Linked DNA regions of Saccharomyces cerevisiae S288C. Changing the gene in region 4 together with the main gene of any one other region gives a genetic interaction. Each region holds a gene or a part of one and is shown on either strand. Other genes may lie near its edges.

Region 1 (6,479 bases), on a different chromosome or scaffold from region 4:
AGTCTCAGAGAGCTTCGAAGTGTGACACAGTAGGTGTAGCCCAATTTTTACATTATTTTCAATATACAGAGTATAAAAGGCAGAGAAATGAAGCAGAAAATTATAGACTGAGAGGAGAGCAACTAAGCAAGTACTATTCTGAAGAATATCCTTTGGATTTTGCGGCTGTTGAATGCGAAGATTCCGTTAATGATAAATCTGATATCATACTTAGTATGAGAGCTACGGAAAGAAACATTGGTAGGCAACTGAAAGGTATAAGTAGTCAAGGGGCACAAATTATATCGCTTGATGAGGATGTTTTTTGAGCGAAAAAACAACACTTAACTGCCAATACTCTGTAAAATTGTTTTCACTTTACATCAATACATTATCTACGTGATTATACATATAGTTATGCATTTGTAGCTAAGAGGGAATCAACTACTGATAGTTAGTATTCAGTGAATAACATAAAAAAGCATTAGCATACAAAGATAATACGCCTGTGCAATTTTTTGCCTATCAAATGCGCCTTTCTAGACAAGATATTTGGTTGAATATGGGTCAGCTATCTTCTATCTGTCGTTACCATATCAGTTTAAGACTACATTGTTAATATTGCTGGAATAGGATTATAAGCGGCGTTGGAATCGACCGCACAAACTACTTGGCTATTTATATATGATTCAAAATTCAGCACCTGATTTAGTAAAGGCAGAACTTTGACGATTGGTAATGTGTTAGAAAAATGTTCTGCAATGTTATATAGAATACGGCTTTCTTTATGTGAATTTTGATATATTGGTGGATTTTGTCATAATTTTTGGGATTTCGTTGTTGTTAAGGTTATAACATTAGGAATAGAGAATATGATAAAGGTTCTTCCCCAGGATACAAAAATTTACAAAAGAGATTGATACTTTTACGTAATAAGGCTACTATTTCTTTCTCCATTTTATATATTGTCACCCATTGTCCTACTATATTTTATTTCAGCTTCCCAAACATCTGATGACTGTTTTTCAATCTTTATATCATCTTTTTTACACTGTATATGATAACATATAATAATATGACTACTGGTAGACAGATGAAGGTTGATTTTGAGATATTGGTGAATTTTGAGGTAATTCTTGGGGTTTTTATTGATTAAGGCTATAATATTATGTATGCAGAATATACTAGAAGTTCTCCTCGAGGATATAGGAATCCTCGAATGGAATCGATACTTCTACATAATAATATTACGATTATTCCTCATTCCGTTTTAAATGTTTCATTATCATATTACATTATCAATCTTTGCATTTCAGCTTCCTTTAACTTCAATGGCAGTTTTTTCATAGCTTATGTCATCATCTAACATCGTATATGATAATACCAGTAGTATAACTATAGTTGATGGACGATAGTTGATTTCCATTCCAACAGATTCTTATTCCAACAACTTTAATATTATCTTCTTGATGTAGTTGCACATAATATAGAAATACTTCGTAGGGAATTAGCATCCCCTCAACTTACAAAACATTCATTGAATTTACCAGTTATAGGGCATGCGTAATGCTTTTAGATGAGATATCCAATGTATACAACTAACCGATATCCAAAAATGACATAGTATCGAGTTCCGGGTCCAATGGTCCAGTGGTTCAAGACGTCGCCTTTACACGGCGAAGATCCCGAGTTCGAACCTCGGTTGGATCAAACTCTTTATTTTTTTAAATTTGCTACTTTAGGTTCGTAGAAAGTCTCTAGGAATGAAATTATATCTTCTGCGTTCGAAAAGAGTAGCTTTAGTTGAAGAAGTTTTGATTTGAAGTGCATTAATGTCTTCCGCTATCTGTGGGAGTGAAGGCATCATTAGAGATAGATCTCAGTGATACCTAATAATACAAGAAGTAGAAATAAAAAATGTGCCCCTAAAAGTACTACCAAGGTATCCGAATTGATTCCTTACGCAGACCTCCCCTATCACAAAATTGAGATGAGGAAGTAGCCAACCTGGTCCTATAAACGTTTAAGGGCAATACGACCGAGTTTTCATTTATTCATTTATATGAATTGCTCTGTCGTGTTTCTCTCTCGGTTCCAGCAGTAAATTTAATGAATCCCCCAAACATTACGGAGCATTCATTACAGATCGGTGGCACCGTTGTATGGATGTATTGCCTTTTTGGAACAATACATCTACTTGCCGAACGTTATGTTTTAGATGGGTCCGCTTTTAATAGTTTAGGTAATTCTTATAGGATTGAAAATCTCGGTAACTAAAATCCGTTATGGCTTAAAAAAATGTAAAAAATAAAGGCCCTTTCTTCCATTCCCTGTGAAACAAAAGTTTCGATAGTGCGATAGTTTACCTTTTACGAGCTTTAACCTGGCGTTATTTTCTCCCACACTACTGTAAACATAAAACTCTCTTATGCTTTAACGAGTATGCTGAGGAATTGTTTGAGGAAATTGGGAAATCATCAAACGAAATGTTCGGTAAAAACGTTACACACCCCAATCTATAGAACAAAAAACCTTCAGGTTCTCAGAGATACGCTCTCTGGTATTAAGCTGTTGGAAAAAATAATAACTTCATCCTCCTACAATAAAACATTGATATATGAACCTAAGTATAAATCCAAGCCACAGGTCGTTAGTTCTCATGATACCATGAGACTTCACAATGTAATGCGTGAGTTACTAGATTCCCTACAAGTAGATGAAGCTACCAACACACGACTTCAATCAAACAGGCCTCGAAAGCTGGGGAGGGTTGGTCTACAATTATTCATGGATTGCATTCAGGACAACTTAACAGCAACTTCAACATCTTTGACATGCTCTTTACTGGAGCACTATTTCAAGTATCCCGAAAAAGAAGTGACCAATGGGATCAAGGCCGGATTACGATATATCAGAGATTTTCTTGCGAAGAACAAGATTATAGTGAAAAGTCAAAACGATGTTGATGCTCTGGTCGAGCAATTGACTATGTCCTCCTCAGACAGCCAAAGCATCAAAAGGGTTTTGAAAGCCATTAATTATGAATTGTTTTCGGATGACATTGTGCGGGTCATAAACGGCAACAAAACTTACGATGAGGTTGATGTATCCAAGGGTTGGAAATATCCAGCTGGTATTTTAGATAGTAATGAAGCCTATTTAAGGTCCCTGGAGTTGCCTACTAAGAAATTAGTTTCCATTGATAAAGATATGCTAGTTCTTATGTATGATGGGACGTTACGAGACGCTAATAAAATTCTACCCACGATAACGTATGCAAGAAAGTTGAGAAAATCTGTTCTCTTAATCGTTAACGGAGATTGCACAGGTGATGCATTAACATCCGTTACAATTAACAATAACAGAAACAAGAGAGAAAATAATGAAAGCCGAATAGTGGTTTTGAAGTACTCTAAAAAGGCGAACAATGACTTAGCGCCACAGGAGAATCTTGATTTTATAAAGTTCTTACGGTTGCCTTGCGGATATGACAGCATCTACTCACCAGAATATAGTCCTTTAGTGCCAAGCAAAATGTGTGCGGATAAATATTACGGCAGTATCGAATCCATAAAAGCGACCACAGGGGAGGCATTCTTATATAACTCCATTGATGCTGAAGCGATTCCAAATAAAGTTCCGAAATCCTTCCTCCAAAATACGGTCACTTTAAGCATTGGTGGACATAACGAAATCGAAATCGACAGAAGAAGAAATGCAATAGATAATTGCTTAAATAACGTCCTATGTCATGGGCTGGCCAAAGGTTTCATCCCAGGTTACGGCATCTCCCTACTGAAGGCAATTCCAGGTTTGAATGAACTGAAAGCAAATGAACCCAATTTCATGACTAAGGTAGGCATCAATGCTGTTTTATCAGCAGTTATTCTCCCATCAGAAGTGGCGTTTAAGAATGCATATGGGTACAACTATTATGAGATCAATAGCCTGATAGCAGGCGCTATAAACGAAAAATCGTTTCCAATGGCCAAGTTTTCTCCAAATTCAGAACCGGTGAACACAGTAAAGGATGGAAACTTGGAGCCATGGAGCAAAATGGATTCTTGTTTAGCCGGTGTAGAAACGTTCATTGAATTACTTACAAGCTGTAATACAATTATCACATGTGTATACAAAAAGCCTGAACGGCACAAAGCCTAGATAAAGCCCTTACATACTTTTAAATAGTCAGAATGAGTCATTGTAAATAGATATTGCCACGGCGCTGCCTTTTATCACTTTTACCTCTTCGTAAATATCTATTATTCCTGCTCAATTTCTCATATGCGGCTTCGGAAAAACTCGGGTTTTTCCACGCCTCAGCAGTAACTCCATCTACCTTTGGGGATTTGAACCATCTCATTCCAGTTTTGGATAACTGCGATTAGATTAAAATATTAAAAGATTATCGATTAGATAAGATAGAAACCAACAAAATTTGTTGTAATAGCTGTGTCCTTGTATCCTTAAAAGAAAACAGGGTTGAAGGCATATGTATTCACATCTTTCTAACTTGTTAACGTCTATGCTAGGACCGAAGTCAGAAAGCGATAAACATGCAAGCCCAAGGTTCACAATCGAATGTAGGGTCTTTGAGGAGTAATTGCTCTGACAATTCACTACCGAACAATCATGTTATGATGCACTGCGATGAAAGCAGCGGCAGCCCGCACAGCGAGCACAACGATTATAGTTACGAAAAGACCAATCTGGAAAGTACGGCATCAAATAGTCGTGAACACAGAGACAACCAGCTAAGTAGGTTGAAGAGTGAGGAATACGTTGTTCCAAAGAATCAACGTAGGGGACTATTGCCTCAACTCGCCATTATACCGGAGTTCAAGGATGCCAGAGATTATCCACCGATGATGAAAAAGATGATTGTCTTCTTGATTGCGTTTTCCTCCATGATGGGCCCCATGGGCACATCTATCATTTTTCCAGCGATCAACTCAATCACAACAGAATTTAAAACATCAGTGATTATGGTAAACGTTTCAATTGGTGTGTACCTTTTAAGTCTTGGTGTTTTCCCATTGTGGTGGTCTTCTCTATCCGAGCTAGAGGGCAGAAGAACTACTTACATAACTTCATTTGCATTATTGTTTGCATTTAATATCGGGTCTGCTCTAGCTCCTGATATCAACTCATTTATTGCCTTGAGAATGCTCTGTGGGGCTGCTTCTGCCAGTGTTCAAAGTGTAGGTGCTGGAACAGTGGCTGATTTATATATTAGCGAAGATAGAGGTAAAAATTTGAGTTATTACTATTTGGGTCCACTACTGGCGCCGCTACTATCTCCAATTTTTGGATCTTTGTTAGTGAATCGCTGGCCCTGGAGATCCACTCAATGGTTTATGGTTATTTTATCCGGATGTAATGTCATTCTTTTGACGGTGTTACTACCTGAAACATTAAGAAAACAAGATTCTAAAGGCGCTATCGCTCAAATTTTGGCTGAAAGACGTATTCAAGTAGACAATAACGAACGTGGAGAGATACAAGAAGATTATCAGAGGGGAGAAGATGAGACAGATCGAATTGAAAACCAAGTTGCCACATTATCTACTGAGAAGCATAACTACGTTGGAGAGGTAAGGGATCAAGACTCGCTAGATTTAGAAAGTCACTCTAGCCCCAATACTTATGATGGTCGAGCTGGAGAAACCCAATTGCAACGGATTTATACAGAGGCGAGTAGAAGTCTGTATGAATATCAGCTAGATGATAGCGGTATCGATGCAACAACAGCACAAGTTACGAGAATAAGATCAACAGATCCAAAGTTAGCGAGATCGATTCGAGAAAATAGTCTGAGAAAATTACAAACCAACCTGGAAGAGCAAGTCAAAAAAGTGCTATCCAGTAATGGAGGTGAAATCGCTCCTAAACAGGTATCAGCGGTGAGGAAGGTCTGGGACACCTTTTTTGTTTATTTTATCAAGCCTTTAAAATCATTGCACTTCCTAGAATATCCACCCGTGGCACTTGCAATAACATTTTCCGCAATTTCCTTTTCCACAGTATACTTTGTTAATATGACAGTTGAATATAAATATTCAAGGCCTCCTTACAACTTTAAACCATTATACATTGGTCTACTGTATATTCCGAATTCTGTAACATACTTTTTCGCCTCAATTTACGGTGGACGTTGGGTGGACATGCTTTTAAAAAGATACAAAGAGAAATATGGAATTCTTGCTCCTGAAGCTCGTATATCGTGGAATGTTGTTACATCTGTAATATCTTTCCCCATTGCGCTATTGATATTTGGCTGGTGCCTAGATAAAAAATGCCACTGGGTAACGCCACTAATTGGAACAGCCCTCTTTGGATATGCAGCTATGATGACAATTGGTGCTACCCTTTCCTATTTAGTCGATTCATTGCCGGGAAAGGGTGCCACCGGTGTTGCTTTGAATAATTTAATAAGGCAAATCTTGGCTGCAACCGCAGTCTTTGTCACCACACCCATGTTAAACGGTATGGGAACTGGG
Region 2 (5,091 bases), on a different chromosome or scaffold from region 4:
TTTTGGATCCAAGTATAAGTTTTGTTGTTTCGACCATATACGTGCTACAGTGGTTTTTTGTATTACCCTTAGAAATCATTGCGGCGGCAATGACCGTACAGTACTGGAACTCGTCTATTGACCCCGTAATTTGGGTAGCCATCTTTTATGCTGTTATTGTTTCCATAAATTTGTTTGGTGTACGAGGTTTTGGGGAAGCGGAATTTGCATTTTCCACCATAAAAGCAATAACAGTTTGCGGATTCATTATATTGTGCGTTGTCCTCATTTGCGGTGGAGGTCCCGACCACGAGTTCATTGGCGCCAAATACTGGCACGACCCTGGTTGTTTGGCCAATGGGTTCCCGGGCGTTCTATCTGTTCTTGTTGTTGCTTCGTATTCTCTCGGTGGTATAGAAATGACGTGCCTGGCATCAGGTGAAACGGACCCCAAAGGCTTACCAAGTGCTATCAAGCAAGTGTTTTGGAGGATCTTATTTTTCTTTTTGATATCACTGACCCTGGTAGGATTCCTGGTTCCATATACAAACCAAAACTTACTGGGTGGTTCATCTGTGGACAACTCACCTTTTGTCATTGCCATAAAATTGCATCACATTAAAGCCTTGCCCTCCATCGTCAATGCGGTCATCCTTATCAGTGTTTTGAGTGTAGGTAACTCCTGCATCTTCGCTTCAAGTAGAACGTTGTGTTCGATGGCCCACCAAGGCCTTATTCCATGGTGGTTTGGTTATATCGACCGTGCTGGTAGGCCACTGGTTGGCATTATGGCAAATTCACTATTTGGATTACTAGCATTTCTGGTCAAATCTGGCTCGATGTCTGAAGTTTTCAATTGGTTAATGGCCATTGCCGGCCTGGCCACGTGCATTGTCTGGTTGAGCATCAACCTGTCACATATCAGATTTAGACTGGCGATGAAGGCTCAAGGGAAGTCTCTGGATGAATTAGAATTTGTTAGTGCTGTCGGGATTTGGGGATCAGCGTATTCCGCTTTAATCAACTGTCTAATCTTGATAGCTCAATTCTATTGTTCACTATGGCCCATTGGTGGCTGGACCAGCGGCAAAGAAAGGGCTAAAATATTTTTTCAAAATTATCTGTGTGCCTTAATCATGTTATTTATATTCATCGTCCACAAAATTTATTACAAGTGTCAAACAGGCAAATGGTGGGGGGTTAAGGCGTTAAAGGACATAGATTTGGAAACCGATCGTAAAGATATCGACATCGAAATAGTCAAGCAAGAAATTGCCGAAAAGAAAATGTACCTAGATTCCCGTCCATGGTACGTGAGACAGTTCCATTTCTGGTGTTAATACCGAAGAAACAAGTTCAATTTATTTTTGTAGAATATTTTTTTTTCTCTTCTCTAGTACTCATCCTTCATAATTAATTATTCCAGATCATTTAATGCATAACGACATGACAATAAAAAAAAAACCTGACATTTTGAAAAATTATCATTTGAATACGTGGATGAAGACTTCTTCGAGCCAGGCCGCAATAAAATTAATAATATATATAGACATCAATTCTTGACCTACACAAAAATAGCTTCTCTCGGTAGCCAAGTTGGTTTAAGGCGCAAGACTGTAATTTATCACTACGAAATCTTGAGATCGGGCGTTCGACTCGCCCCCGGGAGATATTTTTTTACTTTTGCACATCGCTGGTCTTAGCTTTTTTACTTGATTCGCATTGCAATCTATCTGCCAAGAATGAACAAGTATTTTTTTCCTCTGCATCTTTCCCTGCCGTAGGAATCAAATTTGCAACAAGTCTGCAATGTCTAACACCTTTGTTGCAGTCGAATTCTCGTGGCTGTACGCAATTTCTCTTATCCTACCGTGTGAAACAATTCGCGTCGCGTGGGCGCCGAAAAGGGCTTATCACGGCACATCTGAAGAAAAGAGACGGCTGGCTCCAGCTGATATTTAGATATTTTTAGTTGAATAAAGAGGCAGGCGTCAGCGATATTGCATTGTCGCTGTGGTGGGCAGAAAGCCACGGTAATGCATGTCCTGTTGTCTCTTATCCTTGTTGATAAGAAACCCTCTTGATCAGCTAGTCATAATTTTGTCTCTTCTTGCATTCTCTTTCCGATATATAACTTATATCTTCAGGTGTCAGGCAATAGAAACAACAAGGCACAGCGTTAAAAGACCATCATTTCATTTTAGCTTGTCCAAGCACATACCATTTTTCACTCAAGCTATAGCAGAGAAGTTAGTAAACATTAATAGATTATAATATAAGAAAGGCTATGAAGAAAAATTCTTCGGTAGTTTTCTTCCTTGTGGGTCTATCACAATTCGTCACTATGGCGTTTCTCATTATCGGATCCATTACGGCTCCAATTTTCAAACAAATAGGCTATTCTAAATATGATGAGATCACATACGGTACATTCGGCTACTGTAAAGAGGGCTCCTGCTCAAAAGCAAGTTATAATTATCACCCCGATGAGCTATCAGACAGTGATAGCAACTGGAAACTCAATAGCAACGCTAGGTCTATATTGGGGAAAATCATCTTTATCACACCCATTGCTGCTGGTCTTAATTTTTTGGGATTTCTTTGTACCATCATGAGCGTTTTATTAATTAACGTGCTATCCAGTGATAGAGTTGGTAGTGCGTCTGCCATCATGTTTTTTGTTAATTTGACATTTTCCACTCTAGGCTTTCTTTCTGCTTCTTTGATATGTATCGTGGTATTTTTACTGTTTTACCCACATGTAACCTGGTGTTCATGGGTCCTGATACCAGGAGCTGCTTTATCTCTACTAGTAATTCCTTTGATATTCTCAGCTTATTCAAGAAGCTCAGGCTCAAGGGATGATGACGAAACCGAGGAACTGGAAGAAAAGGGCATGCTGCTGAATGACCCATATCTAAGTTCGAAGTCCGGGAGATTCGATATCGACGCTGATAGTGAGGCCAACCTCCGTGGTGATTCAAGAACGAATTTATTGGGTGACAATTTTAAGAACGGTACTAATATCACTGTTGTCCCAGATATTATTTCACACAATCAAGATCCGAAATTATCAAACATAACCACTTCTACCACGTCTGATATTTCTACTTTCGATAAAGAAGCAAAGGACATGGAAAATTCAAATGGTTCCGGACTTAATGAAGAAGAGGACGATGGCATGGCCTATGACAAAAGGAGGTCAACTTCAACGTATTCTGTCATTGAAAGTGAAAGTGGCTTGAAAAATGGGAGTGTTTCTAATAATTATGTGAGAAACAATGGTAGTAACACCAGCAACAATATAAACTATAAAGTTCCGCTAGGAAAAACGGAAATATCATCCAGTGCATCATTAGCGTCCTCAGACTACTCTCAAAGAGAGGTCATACCGCACAGAAATCCTTCGAGACTACTAAACGACATCATGGAGACCTCCTTCAATGAACCAAACGATAGCCACATCAACAGCATGTCCTCCTACAACGATAAAGATTCAACGTTGACTTCAATATCACAGAGAGGTGTCAATCCGGAAGTATACAATCAAATGCCTCGAGAAACAGCCGCTGGTCCTGCAAATATAAGGCCGTACGCTGGTCAGCCACACCCGGCGCCATTAGTGTATCCCCAACAACGACTACAACCACAACAACAGCAACCACAGCAGCAATATCATCAATACAATTTATATCAAAGAACTACTCCTGCTGGTCCAGATCCTTCTAATGTTATTTTACAAAGCAATCCTTATTTCAACGTTGCCCCAAACCAAGTGCCACAGCACAGAAATCCGGTACCAGGCGTCGGTTTTGCTCCGAATCCTTTACCAAACCAAAGCCCGATAACACAAGGATATAAGCCTGCCTATAAGAGGAGAATGCAAAACAAAAACTTGCCCCGAGCTACTACTTCACTGAACAATCCTTACGGATTTAGGTAAAAAAAGAAAAATGAAGGTTCTTTTTTTTTTTTTATATTCTACAAATCACAATAACCACCAACTTGTATTAAACCATATTTTATCATCTTCAGGAACTACTTATGCACAATATTCGTTCGCCAGTCTTTACTTGCGGTTCAATTTTATCCCATATAAATTTGTATTTTATTATCATACTACATACTTTATTGAAATCATATATTAACCTTTTCACTTTTCTCAAATAGAACGAGCAACAGGTCATATGAACGCTGACTAAATCTCTCAATTTTCTTCAAAGCATATTATAGTTCAAAATCGCGATGCGGTACCGTGAAAGTTTTGTCATCAAAGTAGGTCATCCAAAGCATCATTCTCAGATTCTGTTACTTCAACGATACTCGGCAAGTTGCTCTCTTCGTCATTAATATGGGTATTACTGCCGTCATCATGACTGTTATTAACTGTTTTATTATCATCATTGTTGTACTTGTTGCTACCATTATTACGACCACCACTGCCACCGCCATGTGGTTTCAACATAACAAAGAAAAAGAGCGCTATTACGCACAATGTTAGTAATAAAATGACTTTACATTTTTGAGTTCTCTTCTGGTAGTGTGTTGCTTTATTCAACTCTTTATCTGCACTTTTTAGCTCTACCACTGTATTTTCCAGATTATAATCAATCCTGTCCACAATAGTCCCCTGGTCAACAACCAAATCTTGCATTTCCCTGAAAATAGTGCTCACTTCTAATACACCCCTTGCCAACTGAGTAATTTCTTCGTCACGTTCTCTCAAATATGCTTCTGCAGAAGTGTCATGAAGCTGTTGCTGTCTCTGCAACGTCCTTTTTGAATAGTCTTCAATATCGAGGCCCTCTCTCTTCTCTCTTGCTGCCTCCTCTTCCTCATCATCTAATAATAGCGTGTTCTCTGCACTGGCCTTATTGCGGATAGGTTTCAAATCATCCTTGTTCAAGAATTTCAAGTAATTATTTTGTAATACTCTGAACTTATTACTTTCAGTTTGTATCTTTTCTGCATAGATCTTCTGTAGATTATCTAGTATAATCAGCTCTTCTCGACTTAATTGCTTACCATCCACAAATTGAGAGTTGTATATGGTCTTTAATCGTTTCATAACAGCGTAACATTTCTGCAGCATCTGAATTACTTTGAAACTTA
Region 3 (6,475 bases), on a different chromosome or scaffold from region 4:
AAGAGATCAATTAGACAGTATCGGCGATCTTTTTATTGTTCAGCTTTCTACTATTCGTCATAGTGGCGCCTTCCAAGCCGTTTTACCGGGGCTAAAGGCATTTTGTATTCGTTGTCAACTTGAATTTCCCGCTATTCTGGAAGAACTTTTAAGCAAGAGTGTAAAATCTTTAAAATCCAAAACTCAACATATTACAAGAAGGTCAGGAGGCTTGCCTTTCTTGGTCACAACCGTCTTAAGTGCAGAAGTTACCAAAGGGAGACCTTTGTTACAAAAAACTTTTGAAAACTTACTACTCGTTGCAAGGTTACCAATTCCTCCCCATCAAGATGAGTTTGATTTACCACAGGTTAATGCTATTAATTGTATAAACGCAATCTTTGTTGAACCGAAGCTCTCTGTACACTGTACGTCATTTGTCTCAGAGGCATTAGAACTAGCTTTATTGAATTTCGACTGTGATATATGGGCTCTAAGAAACTGTTCTATCATGCTGTTTACCTCCTTGCAAAATAGAATTTTTGGAAAAGTGGGCAGAAGCGTTAGTGCAAAATTATTCTTTACCAAATATTCTGGCTTGAGGCAACTGCTTTTGAATATTCTAAACAGTTCTATTGCTCAATATTCGGGAAGTGAAAGAAAATCATATCAAATTGAAAGCATTTTCTTGGTCCTTAATGTGCTACTGAGGTTACGGCCTACAGCTGGCTATACTGGTCTAAAAGAATTCAACGTTTCTGTTTATGAATGTTTATCAAATGAGAACTGGAAGATCAGAGATATGGCCTCTAGAGTATTGCATATGCTGTCGGAAAATTTTGAAGAAGAGATAAGAAAATTACTTGACTTGGCTTCTATCGCGAAGCAAAACCAGTTACATGGACACTTACTAGCACTCCAACAACTAGTACCACAATACCTTTCAGGAACTAGAGATATGGAGTTGATTCAAAGGATACTTGAAAAGAAAAGGATGCTTCTACTAGAGAACAAGTGCTTTATCACTAAAAAGGCCTACTTAAAATTGACCTGCTGTATATTGGAAACATGCGACATACCTGATTCTATTTTAAAAGATTATATCAGCACTTTGCGGAACACATTTATTGCTGAAAATAACGAATATGTTGTGGATGGTAGCAAACAGCTATATCTTGCACAAATCTTAGACATGCTCTTAAAATATGAGGATAGTATATATCTCGATGATATTTGCTTATTAGGATTGTATTCTCCATTTTATGAGGCTCAGCTCAGTACACTACAGTACATGAATACTAACTTTCACTGGGAAACTACAAGAAACTCAGAATTTCTTGAACAACTACAATTATTACTCAGGGTTCCAGATTTGCTGCCTATGGCTAAAGCTTTAGTAGTGAAAATTCTCTCAAGAAAAAAGAATACTTTATCCCTGACGACCTGCACTGATCTCCTAAAAACAAATAATAGTGAAGATACAAAACTTGCTGCCGTTTCATCACTAAGTGCTAAATTGTCTTCGCAAACCTTTCACCAGGTATGGAACTTGTTACAAGGATTTTTCGCCGATTCTTGTTCAAAAGATTTTAGATTGGCATCTTTAGAATGTTTAACTGCTTATCCAGAAAGTTGTAAGAACTCCAGAATACTATTACAACTGTACAACTTCTTATGGGACGATGATTCTGAAATAAGAGAAAAGGCTTCTTTTTATTTGAATAAGAACTTTATTCAAACTGCAGACTGGGAATATAACAGGAACACCAGTGTGACCGCTCTTATATTCACAAAAAAGTTTGTTGACGTATTCACAAGTTCTGAGGTGGTAGAAGAGTTGTGTTTACAGTTGTTTCAATATCTAAATGAATATGATATGTTTGCTGCCGAAGAATCGGCGAAGAATTGTCTATTTACTATAGAAAAGGATAACCAGTTCATCAACGAACTACAAAAGGCAATGCATATATTAAATATGATAAAATTGACTGGAAGGGATATCTCAAAGTGTTACAAAGACCAGATACATCACCTAAAAAGTGCTCTATTGGAGCACTTCAACACCGAGGATTTTAAAGATTCCCCACTCGGCTGGTGCTCTAATGCTGAAATATTTTCAAGAATAACGCTTTTAAAGGAACTGATTCAACATTATTCTCCTTCTGATTATGAGAATTTTATCAATGTTCTGACTAAACATTCTGTTCATCCCCTAATTATCAGTTATTCCCAATTATAAATAATGAATATGTACAGATATATACTTTGCATATAATCTGATTCATCTCTAACCTACTTGTGGATTTAGTGACGAGATTCATTGTGGAACCTATTACAAAGCATGTCGATTTCTATTCTAAATACAATGATGGAACTTGATTTAATTTCTTTACCGTTGTCATTTTCTTTTGAATTTTTTCCACCTCTTTTTTTGTTGAAAAATGTTCATGGATGGAAAATTAAAGGTGTGCCCTATTACAAAAGCAAGTTGTACCCCTTTACTAACTCTCTAGTCAATTTGAACTATTGTGAAAACGACAGTTGTGCTCACATGATATAACAAAAGTAATACTGACAAATGGCATTCCAAGATCAAGATATATTCATAGTGTTCTCGCATGCCTCCTTATTTCTTAATCAAAATGATTTATTAAGCCTAAGTCTAACATCCAAAAAAATGCATGACATGATTGCAATCCCTCGTCTTTATAGCAATATTCACATAACTAAGAATCCTGTTTTAAGAACAAACAAATGGTTTTTGGACGGGGGAAAAACTTATGTAAGTGGTTATAGATCTGTTCTGAAAACCGGTGACAAGAATGACATATTTTTATATGATAGAATTGAAAGGTTGTTGGAGACATCGCATTTAAAATGTATAAAACAGCTGACTATTGACGAGGATTTGTTTCACAACAGGGAAGAAGGATTGCAACTGTTACAAAGATTGGTCAATGAAATCACTGACTTGGACGTGATTGAAAGTCTTGACATCAAGGATCCTACCTTGTTTGAGTTATGTTCAGCAAAGTATTATCGCCTGTCAAGTTTAAAGAAGAGAGTAGTATATGGCGAAACTGGATTTGATGGTATCAAATTATGGCAAAACTTCAAAAGCTTAAAATGGCAATTACCTGAATCGTTGGATTTGCAAAACGTAATAATCCCTGAAGTGGGTGTAATGTTAATGAAGCAACTTAATGGAGGAGAGTTAGAAATAAAGGACGAAGCGTACTCAAGCCTAAGGGTCTTTGAATACTTTGATTCCCTGAACCTCCGCTTCAAGAATCTGCGCCGTTTGAAGCTTAATCATGTTCACAAACAAGGTGATGGGAGTGCTACTTCTATGAGATTATCTTCACGCGCGTTTAAGGATGTAGTTAATTTATCCAATCTTAAAGCCCTTGAATTAGAATTTTCTTGTGAGGTGGACGACTGTGAATGTGATGATGACTTTCTTCAAGATATAACAGGAAACCTTGTTTCCTTAACAAGTCTGGGGTTCATTGAAAAGACATTCACCAAAAAAGGGTACCATTACATGGACGAGAAATGGGACTTGGTCGTTAATAAGTTTATTTTAAATTTACCAAACGTGAGTAAAGATTTGCGTTTGTTAAGCATACGACATGACCCACCTTTAAATGGCAAGGGCATTGATACTGTTGATGGGAACTTGCTTCGCCGTAAAAAACTTTATGAAAAGGTTTTACCAAAGCTAACTTCGTTGGAAACAATAATAGCTCCAACTGTATTGCAGTCCATCACCTCATATGAAATGTATGCGTGTGACCTTTTGTGGAACGGCTGCAAATGTGCGTTCTGCTCCAAATACTTACCATTATTTGATAAGTACATCATGAATCATCAATACTTTTCGACCCCGGATGCAAGATACTTGGATATTATACCGATAGTGTTTGCAGCATATACTGGAAAATCTCTAGCTAAGAGGTTTGATCCTCAGAAGAACTGGGATTTGGATTTACTACAGTATGCCCCTGAGGATACGACGTGGAATTTCCATGGCTTTGAGAGAATTCATCACTTTGCAAGTTATGAATGTTATTTTGACGAATCCTCATTTGAGCCCTTAGCCACTATTATATCGCATTTTTTTTATCCTTACATGAACTACTTGATAAAGATATTGCCAAACCTTCGCCAAACTATGTTGTCAGGAATATACTTTAGCGTGAGCCCAGAATTACACACTTATGAAACTATTTATGATTAAACTTGATAGTTGTGATAAACATTTCTTATGTACATTTGTTGAAGGAGTTCGTATATATACAGCCAGTTGAGTAATAATTATATTTTACTATTGCATTTCATAATTATTACCCGGACCTTACGAGTTCTTCGAATAATAACCATATATTTCAGAAAGGTAGGCATACCGAAGGAAGAGACAATGAAAAAACTGAAATGAACAAGCTTCTGTATACGATCCAAGGATCAGAAACGGTTGTTATTTATTGTTTGGACTTCTTGTTGTTAGGCTTTATTTACCGTGCATAATACTATCTGATACTTTGAGAAACCCCTCCCCCCACAGAAAGGTTCAAAATTTACAATTGCTGCACTAGGTCTACACTTTCCTCTAGATTTGTAACTTGAAGACCCCATTCCAATCGTTTAACCTGTCTTTCCTTTTATTATCGTTTTATTCTCTTCCTTTTTTATAAAATTCTATCTGGTATAGAGCATTTTTATGTTGATCATAACTTTTCATGTATTCTATTAATTACACCACAACTTTGATATCGTCAAATTTTTTATCACTACCTATTAAATTTAAACAATTGCTTACGAGAACTTAATGTTACAACGGAGATTTATATCCTCCAGTGGTATAAAGAGATTACTTCACAGAGAATCAAACAAGGTTATGCACACTGTTTTCTTTAAAGTACGATATTACTCAACTGAGTTGATCAAAAAAAAGCATAAGGAAGATATTGAGGATTGGGTTAAAGCGCAACTAAAAGATTCTTCAACAATAAGCGGTGTGTATGAGTCTCGGAATAAACTCGATTGGATGGACTCCATTACCAAAAGCCCCAGCAGCTTAGATATTCTTAAGAATCAATATAATATAGTGAAAGACAAAGATTTTGGAATATTGTGGAAGCAAAAATTCGAAAGTGCAGATCCAGATATTTTGATGACAATAATTAGCCTTTCCACTAACCAAAAGGTTTTGTTTTCAATACAGCAATTACTGATCTTAATAAATTCTCTTCACTTTTTGAAAAGGGACTACGATATTGGACAAATATACACAACATATGAGCAATTCACGCCCTTATTAGCAAGCCACACTGATAAAGGCACATATGGTCAGTTCATCGAAATTATGTTGGTAGTACAGCATAATTTACATCATTTTGATGTCTGTGAAACTTTATTTGCAGAATATATCAAATATTGCAAAGTAAAGCCACAAATGATATCTTTAGGATTAAACTCTTTCATAAGGAGTAATAACACTCAACTAGCGGTGGAATTTTACACGCAAGCAATTACCAATCCTGATACATTTCCAATAACTGAAAAGCAGCTTTTTGAGTTTCTCCGATGTATGGAAAGATATCTAGATATGTCCAGTATGAAACACATCTTTTATCTCTGGTTGAAAGTGAAATGTGGTGATGAGCAATCCTCTTCAACTAACCTTCCCTCGTTCAAAACCCTCGCGATAATACACAGAATGTTATTACGTTTTTCTAATACAGATGAGCTAAACGATTTTTTAACCAATCCCGTTGTTTTAAGTACGGGATATACATCAAGTGTGCAGTTTGAGTTGATTGAATTTTGTCATTCTCTGTATTGCATCAAAGGAGACAGAACAAAAAGCATTGATGACTCAATATTGATGGAAAGAGTTGATAAATTTATTACCAGACTTAATAATAATATTTCAACACGAAAAGAGCTATATATGTCAGTGGTTCAAGCGTACGTCTCTACTAACAATTTCGAGAATTTAAAAGTAATCTTGGAAAAAATCCAGAGAGATAATGATATTAGCATAGACGGTTCGTTTCATTTGTGCATTTCTAGGTATTTTGTCAACACCAATCAATTCGAAGGACTTTTCAAATATTATCGCAGTGTAGTTAAAACCACTGATGGTAAAACGCGATTACGGCCCGCATTTATTCAACAATTATGGTCATGTGCCGTAAATGTTTATCCAATGCTGGCAAAAGAAATTACAAATGACCTACTTGTGACTCTAAAAAGGAGCCAATACAGCAAATGTCTCACTTGGGTGTACACATTTTTACAAGAAAATGCCCATATCCATACGAGAAAGATCAATGGAGGAGAAGACTCTTCGTTATCTGGTTTCAACGCGGTTGATTTTGAAAGGTTTGAAGAGTTCAAGAAAAAAGTTTCTCACAATGATGTATATGGAGCAGAATTGGTGATTTCGAATAGTTTGAAGGAGGGCATTGCGCCTCAATTTTCATTTTTGTAT
Region 4 (6,600 bases):
TCTCTTTGTTTATCAAAGTAGATTTGAGATATTAGTGGAAGGTCACTTGTGGGAAGATTATGTTTTTTAATATACTGGATAGGATTCAAATCTCCAAAATCAATTGAATCATAATCCGTATTTCTCTTCGTTTCTTTAAAGTTTGTTTGGTGAGAATCCTCAAGTGGTAATTCCACTGTCTCCCTTGCATTTATTGGCTGGTTTGGAGAGTTAGGCACATCCTCATCAAAGATATTTGTCAAAGTCATCGCTCTCTTTGCAGGACCCAGCTTCGTTGTCCTATTGGATATTAAAAATCTCTTACTTCTCCTTTCAGCATACTTTGCCGTAATATCTTCTTTCATATTTTGTCGCAAATTCCTTATCCTTTCAAAACTCTTATCAAGACTATTTCCAACATTTATCTCTATGTCACTAGTGTTCATCGTCGTCATGCTAGTCTGGTGATTATTTCTCAGATATCGTCCGAACAAGGTTGAATGCGATGAGGTACTAGTATGACCGGATGTCAAATTGCCCATTGACGGTGGGGGGTGACTCCTTGATGAACTCCTGTCCATTTCTTCTAATCGATTTGCGATCTTGTCATTATTATGACTTGATAATATCTCTGATGCTGAAGTTTTTTCTGTGTGGGAAAGTAAAGCTGATCCGAAATTGCTTAGTTTTGGAGGCGTAGTGAACTCTTCGTCATCTGAAAACTGTCGTGTATTAGTTCTCGATTTTAAATCCACATAATCATGGAATGAGTTTGTTGACATGTTTGTTTTGAGATCATCCAGTTCTTGCAGAAACAATTTATTATTTTGGTTGTAAAGCTACTTCTATAAACAACTGCAATATTCCTATTCAGACTTCAGTGGGCTGGGTCAAGTAGGCTTCTATAAATTTTGTAGGTTACTATTAATATAGTAGATCTTAAATTCTCTTTAAGCTTGCCTTCACATAAACATCACTATTACTCTTTGCAACCCTTGGTAGTTTTTTTTTGGTTTTGTTTACTATTTCTAATTGATATTATCATTTAATACGATGGAAGTGACACCAAAAATTATTTTGTGTCACTGCACACCATAAATAAAGGTATTGGTCAGAATATATAAACATGTATGATATATAAATTGTGGCATCACAGTAATGCTCAAACAAAAACTTTAATGTTCTTTACTCTTTTAGGGTGTATTCAGTGTTTTTGTCGTTTATTTTTGAAATGTTATATTTTGAAAAGAATTCTCCAGAATCACCATTTGTTGTGATAACAAAGTGTTTTGATAGTAGCGTATTTACACTTTTGATGGCAATAATTGTGTTAAGGGTTTTGCTGCTGTTAGAGGTTTCACTTTCTTGTAATATCTTGAAAAAATCAGCCTTCGAATAAGCTCCGCCATTGAACATTATTGCAGGAAAGGATTCGTCTAAAATAATGACATATACGTCTGCAATATGCTTCTTGCCCTCGAGTTTTTTTGAAGGGTTTAGCGGTAAATTTTTCATTGAGTCTAAATACAACTTGTATCGAACACTGGAAAATATGAAAGTTTGGAATTTTCTGAGTTCACTTCGGCAATTATCAATATCGAGTTCCAAGTCATAGGATTCTTTGATCCATTTCTCGACGCTGTCTCCTAAAAAGTAGGATCTTATTCCCAGTTCGTTCTTGGTGAAGGACTCCAACACTCTTTTCTGCAGGAAACTTAGAAACTGCTTTCTGGTTTCTTCTTGCTTTACTAAATCAACATTCAAACCTTTGGCAAACTCGTTTGGAATTCCCATCCTGGAAGATATCTCTTTCCAACTCTGAACCATAGGTTGTAATTGTAATGATCTCATGGTGGGTAATGTTATTTTCAATTTTGTTTTCGGTAAGGAGGTCAAGACATCTTTGTAAAAGATATTTTTCTGCCATTTTTTGAATTGTTTAAAAAAAAAGAACATAATAAGAAGGGGAAAAAAAAAGTGAAAAATTAAGGGAATAACGACTATCGTTGATGTTAGAATGAATGTGAAGATACTTGCAGTTGCAAATATGATAAAAAATGGGGAGACTTTATATACTTTCACAAACGGCTTGTTACCGTTCTTTGGTGACTTCGAAGAAAATATAAACTTTATTTCTGCACGTCGTGACGAATGGAAGGCTCTTTTACCAACCAACCTGGATGTCGAGCTTTTCAGACTGGATAGAAATTGGTGAGTGGTAGAACAATAATTAGAAGAAATGCATGAAAGCTTACGAAACTGGAAACTTTCTCCTCGATATTTTGGAATTGCGGGAGATGTAATCGCCGAAGGCACTGGTTTAGGAAAAGCCCTTAATATTCCTGGCAAGTACATATTGAAACCCTTTCCATTATTGAGACTATTGAGCGTAACGCTGTTCATAAGCTCCCTTGTCCTACTGGCTAATCCCACTGGAACTTTGAACATTTTTTCCTACTCATATGTGGTTATGGTGGTCTTATTTATCTGCGCTAAATCACTTTTCAATTATTCTTTGCAGTTTATAGGGGAGGAGACTTCCTCTTTGTAAAATCTAATAGGGCGTGTTCACAATTTTATGCGTCGGGTGACTTCAATTTGGCGCCCGTTGAGATTATCTAAAAAATGCTTTTATTTATTTAAGCGCTTTTTGTTTTGACGAATGTATTTATGTTTTTGTATATATATGAGCGTTTTTTTTTTCCAGATTTAACTAGTTTTCTTTTTCACCTGTATGCACACCATCTTTTATTCCTATATAATGCCTTTTATAGTACTTTGAATCTTCTATATACAATTTTTTAGGTTTTATCTTTTAAAAAGTGTTTATTTCATTAATTTGAATCTTTATTCCCGTGTTGCTTGGTCAGCTCATTCAACTCCTCCTCAGTGACCAAGTGATGCTTATGATTCTTTGGTTTTTCAACCAAATCGCCAGATGTAGGGTCAACTTCACAGGAGGGGACGGATACAAGCCAATCATCCTTTACCACGTCATTCATTAAAACTCTTTGCTTTGGTTCTAAAGCCAACATTCTGCCTATTATTGTCCGTGAATGTCTTGGCAGTAGCCTTAATATTTTATTTGGCCCCCGAACTATATCATCTTCGTCCTCAGGTTCCTCAGTAAATAACCTAAATGAGTTGAAGCTCTTTTTTGGAGCCTTCCAAGGAAATCTTTTAAGGACCATACAGTAAAATATAATAGCGATAGACCACACATCTGCTACTCTTGGATCGTAGGATGTTTGTTTCAATAACTCAGGAGCCAAATAAGGGTCAGAACCCACGATTCCATGTGATTTTACAATGGTATCTTCGTAAGGGTATTGGAACACTACAGCGCTCCCAAAGTCAATCAGTTTCAAGATGCCATCTTTAGTGACGACACAATTGTCCAATTTTAAATCCCTATGAGCTAAGCCCATAGAGTGCAGGTAATTAACGCCGTGGCACAGCTGCTTGAAGTAACAGTTGACTTCATCTTGTGTCATTAGGTTACTCATGACGAGATTAAAAAAATCATATGGCGCATACTCCATTACTAATAAATAGGTGTCACCTTCAGTCAACATATCTAGGGTTTCAACGATATTTTCGTGGTGCAGCGTGGAACCAATACAAAATTCAGTGGTAACCTTCTTAGAATAATTAGCTAATTGAGACTGATTAGTTCCTTCATTGTTTAAGTGTGGTTTTCTGAACATTTTGCAAGCAAATAACTTGCCGTCTGTTCTTTCTACTACGGACACTGAACCGGAAGCTCCTTCGCCTAATTTTCTACCAGGAATACCATATTTTTCTAATAGCTCCACTGGGTTATCTGTTTCGTATAACGCTTTTCCGTTACTTTCTACTATATTTTCATTGGTGTTCAAATTGAGCTTCGGTTTTGTAGGGGTGGATCCACGGTTGTGATGGTGGTGATGATGATGGTTATCGTGATAATCATTATGAATTTTTTTGAAAAATCTTGTTAATCTCAAGGATTTTTTCTTTCTTGATGAGGTATCATCACTACCGCTTGAAGAATTATGCTGTAGTTCCACGGACCCAGGGGTGGAGGCTTGAGAGTCCATGAAGTGTTTGTCTTCAATCTGTTTCTGTAGTATCTCTACGGGATGCATATGTGCCTGGTATGATAAATTCGAAGAGGGTGTATCAGATTTTGCAGAAGACACTGTAGAAATGTTGCTATGAGCTGTAGAGCGAACGGGGTGAGGATGGTGGAAAGCATCTTTTGAGCCTTGATGAATGTAGTTTATTGGATTGTGAATACTATGGGGTAAGTGGGGCACAGTGTGTCCCGTACGAACGGGATTATGATTGTTAGGTAAGGGCCGTGAAGGAGAGTAGTCAATAGGAGCTTTTTTAGCTGAAGTAGGAGAAATACCTGTCAAAGTAGAACTTGCTACTACGTGTGACTCCTTTGACAACGCGCCATTTCCCTGGGGGCTCTTTCCTATGGTAGATCTTCGGTCGTTGGGTTTGTTATACTTTATTTGATCCTCTTGGTCAGAATCTGTATTCTTTTTTGAAGATCTAGAAGAAGACCTTGAAACATCATCTGTCTTTGAGTATGATTGGTTACCACCTCCATTGAATATTTTAGCCGATAAATTCTTCAACTTAGTTGGCCTAAATAATGAAGACAGCGAAGTTGATGAAGATGAGTGTAATGGAGTTTCCTTAACCATTATGCTATGAATTTCAGGCTGCTCTTTTCTGTCCTTCTCTCTTTTTTTCCCTCTCAAATCCTCTCAGCTTATTAGCGCACTAAAGAGTCAGTTTGGGTGAATAGCGTAATCAACTTATGGAAAAGAAGAACACTAGAATCCGTCACTATTGGCTGCAAATAAGTATTATATCTTTTTTCAATGAGAAATCTTGCTTGCCCCATAACAGGTACAATACTTAGCAAGCCAGGAAGAGTCACACTGCAAAATAGATATATGAGAAGCGGAAGTAGCTTTTCCCCTTATAGATGTACGCCGTTCGATATTACCCGAACTGCAAGAAAAGCTTCTCCAAATATCTACTGGCCTCCATTCAAGAAGGCAATTAAAGAGACTATGTGTACATGAATGGGAACTTGGTATGATGGTAGTAATGCTTTATTAGTCATTCCCCTACCCCCTTGCGCAACCTATCATTTTACTTGCCAGATGTGCTCTCCACTGTTAGAGCCTCTTCGCTGACAAAGAATGGACGAGTACGCGAGCGGTGAAACGAGCACTGCAGGCAAGAGAAAGAAAAATCATGCATGATTTGGAAAGCGAATAAGAAATGACGCAGTTGAGTGTTTGAGTTGGAGCCAGCTGTGTTATTCACAGGTTCATTTCGAGAAAATAAACGCCTTTGGTGGAAGCGGACACTATATTTCACATTTTAGCTGTAGAAGTAAAAAATTTATTTCAAGTTTACTTAATCCATTCAAGCAGTGCTTTCCCGGAGTTTCGAATAAAAGACACTGAGGACTTTTCAGTTTGAATTTGAGATATGTTGTGGAAGTTTCCCAATACCAGAACCGCCTTTGAAATCCGGAAGTTTTCTTTTATGTTCTTGTGAATTTTCTATCCGAGTTTTAACTTTCGATATTCAGAAAGAATAGCCGTTCATCTCTTTTATATTATATTTAGCGATGTAATGAAAGTAAAAAAACAAAAAAAAAAAACAACAATAATCAAATGACGCATATCTAAATATTCCAGAAAAGAATATAAATAACGAGGGTGATAAAGCGGGTGCAATTAAATTCTCTGTAGTACAAAAATATGTAATAACCGCAGAACTTGTTAGTGGAATCTCTTTTAGATGTAGCTTGAAGGCTCAATTCGCTCCCCTTCGGTTTGCTGAAGGAAGAACGATGCGGAATATTACTTTGTGACCATGTTATGTAAAGACAATTTCCTATTTTTTTTTATTTCTGCCCATGCATGGCTTATTGATTCACTAAGGATGCGTTATACCTTGTTGTGTTCCAATCCCAGTAAAACGTCAATTCCTTTTCTTTGCTAACTTTGGAGACGTCGCAATCTTCATAGAAGCTCACACCTCGTAATCTGTCTTTGGCATACTCGTAAAATGTGCCCTCTTCACATGAAAAACCTGGACCACTGGAGCAACTCTCTATAGGAACCACAGCATCGTTGACCACATAACGGACGTACGAATCGTTTGAGCATTGAAACTTTTCTGTGTAGACTCTAGCTCCCTGAGGAATGTACCACGACCTGTGGTAGGAATGATCACGAAAGGGAACATGATTGGTTGTTAAATTTCTAGTGTCATCAATCAATCCAGCAGTTGTCAAATAATTTAGAATATCAGTATCGTGCGTAAAGCTCAGCCAAACTTTTTGGTCCAAGTGCGCACTTTGTCGTATTAGCTTCACTGTTGCATTGAACAAATTAGCACCTATAGATTTAATCAATTTGTATCCGGGACCATTTTGGTAGAAGCTCGTCAAATCAGTCTCATAAGAATAATGTATTAACTCTGCCGCGGAGAAAATGTCACAAATGTTACTATAACCTTTTGCGTTCAACTCGAAGGCACACCAAGAAAACAAGGCCGCTGCATCTTTCCTGCTCAAGTTCAGCCCTTTATTTTCGTCATTAA

The links.
Region 1: mutations in RTK1 (region 4) and TCM62 together harm fitness more than expected from each alone (negative genetic interaction), as found in Saccharomyces cerevisiae (one large-scale study listed by BioGRID).
Region 2: mutations in RTK1 (region 4) and YOL019W-A together harm fitness more than expected from each alone (negative genetic interaction), as found in Saccharomyces cerevisiae (one large-scale study listed by BioGRID).
Region 3: mutations in RTK1 (region 4) and ROY1 together harm fitness more than expected from each alone (negative genetic interaction), as found in Saccharomyces cerevisiae (one large-scale study listed by BioGRID).

Annotation. Positions count from the first base shown.
Region 1 is NC_001134.8:322,002-328,480, reverse strand, and holds TCM62 (Tcm62p), read left to right. Parts: upstream 1-2,421; coding exon 2,422-4,140; downstream 4,141-6,479. Other genes in the region: protein phosphatase regulator GIP1, read left to right, coding at 1-308; QDR3 (Qdr3p), read left to right, coding at 4,536-6,479. UniProt on the Saccharomyces cerevisiae protein: Chaperone. Required for the assembly of succinate dehydrogenase subunits. Ensures mitochondrial gene expression at elevated temperatures and prevents heat-aggregation of the ribosomal subunit VAR1.
Region 2 is NC_001147.6:286,632-291,722, forward strand, and holds YOL019W-A (uncharacterized protein), read left to right. Parts: upstream 1-1,788; coding exon 1,789-1,941; downstream 1,942-5,091. Other genes in the region: aromatic amino acid transmembrane transporter TAT2, read left to right, coding at 1-1,319; TOS7 (Tos7p), read left to right, coding at 2,267-3,922; t-SNARE syntaxin TLG2, read right to left, coding at 4,250-5,091.
Region 3 is NC_001145.3:780,364-786,838, reverse strand, and holds ROY1 (Roy1p), read left to right. Parts: upstream 1-2,557; coding exon 2,558-4,219; downstream 4,220-6,475. Other genes in the region: tRNA methylation protein TRM732, read left to right, coding at 1-2,218; PET111 (Pet111p), read left to right, coding at 4,808-6,475. UniProt on the Saccharomyces cerevisiae protein: Non-SCF-type F-box protein involved in the endocytic with the vacuolar sorting pathway. Acts as a repressor of YPT52 by inhibiting the formation of active, GTP-bound, YPT52. Involved in the defense mechanism against methylmercury toxicity.
Region 4 is NC_001136.10:402,531-409,130, forward strand, and holds RTK1 (putative serine/threonine protein kinase RTK1), read right to left. Parts: upstream 4,677-6,600; coding exon 2,814-4,676; downstream 1-2,813. Other genes in the region: serine/threonine/tyrosine protein kinase MPS1, read right to left, coding at 1-761; MRX9 (Mrx9p), read right to left, coding at 1,165-2,427; putative acid phosphatase DIA3, read right to left, coding at 5,921-6,600. UniProt on the Saccharomyces cerevisiae protein: Probable serine/threonine-protein kinase that may be involved in ribosome biogenesis.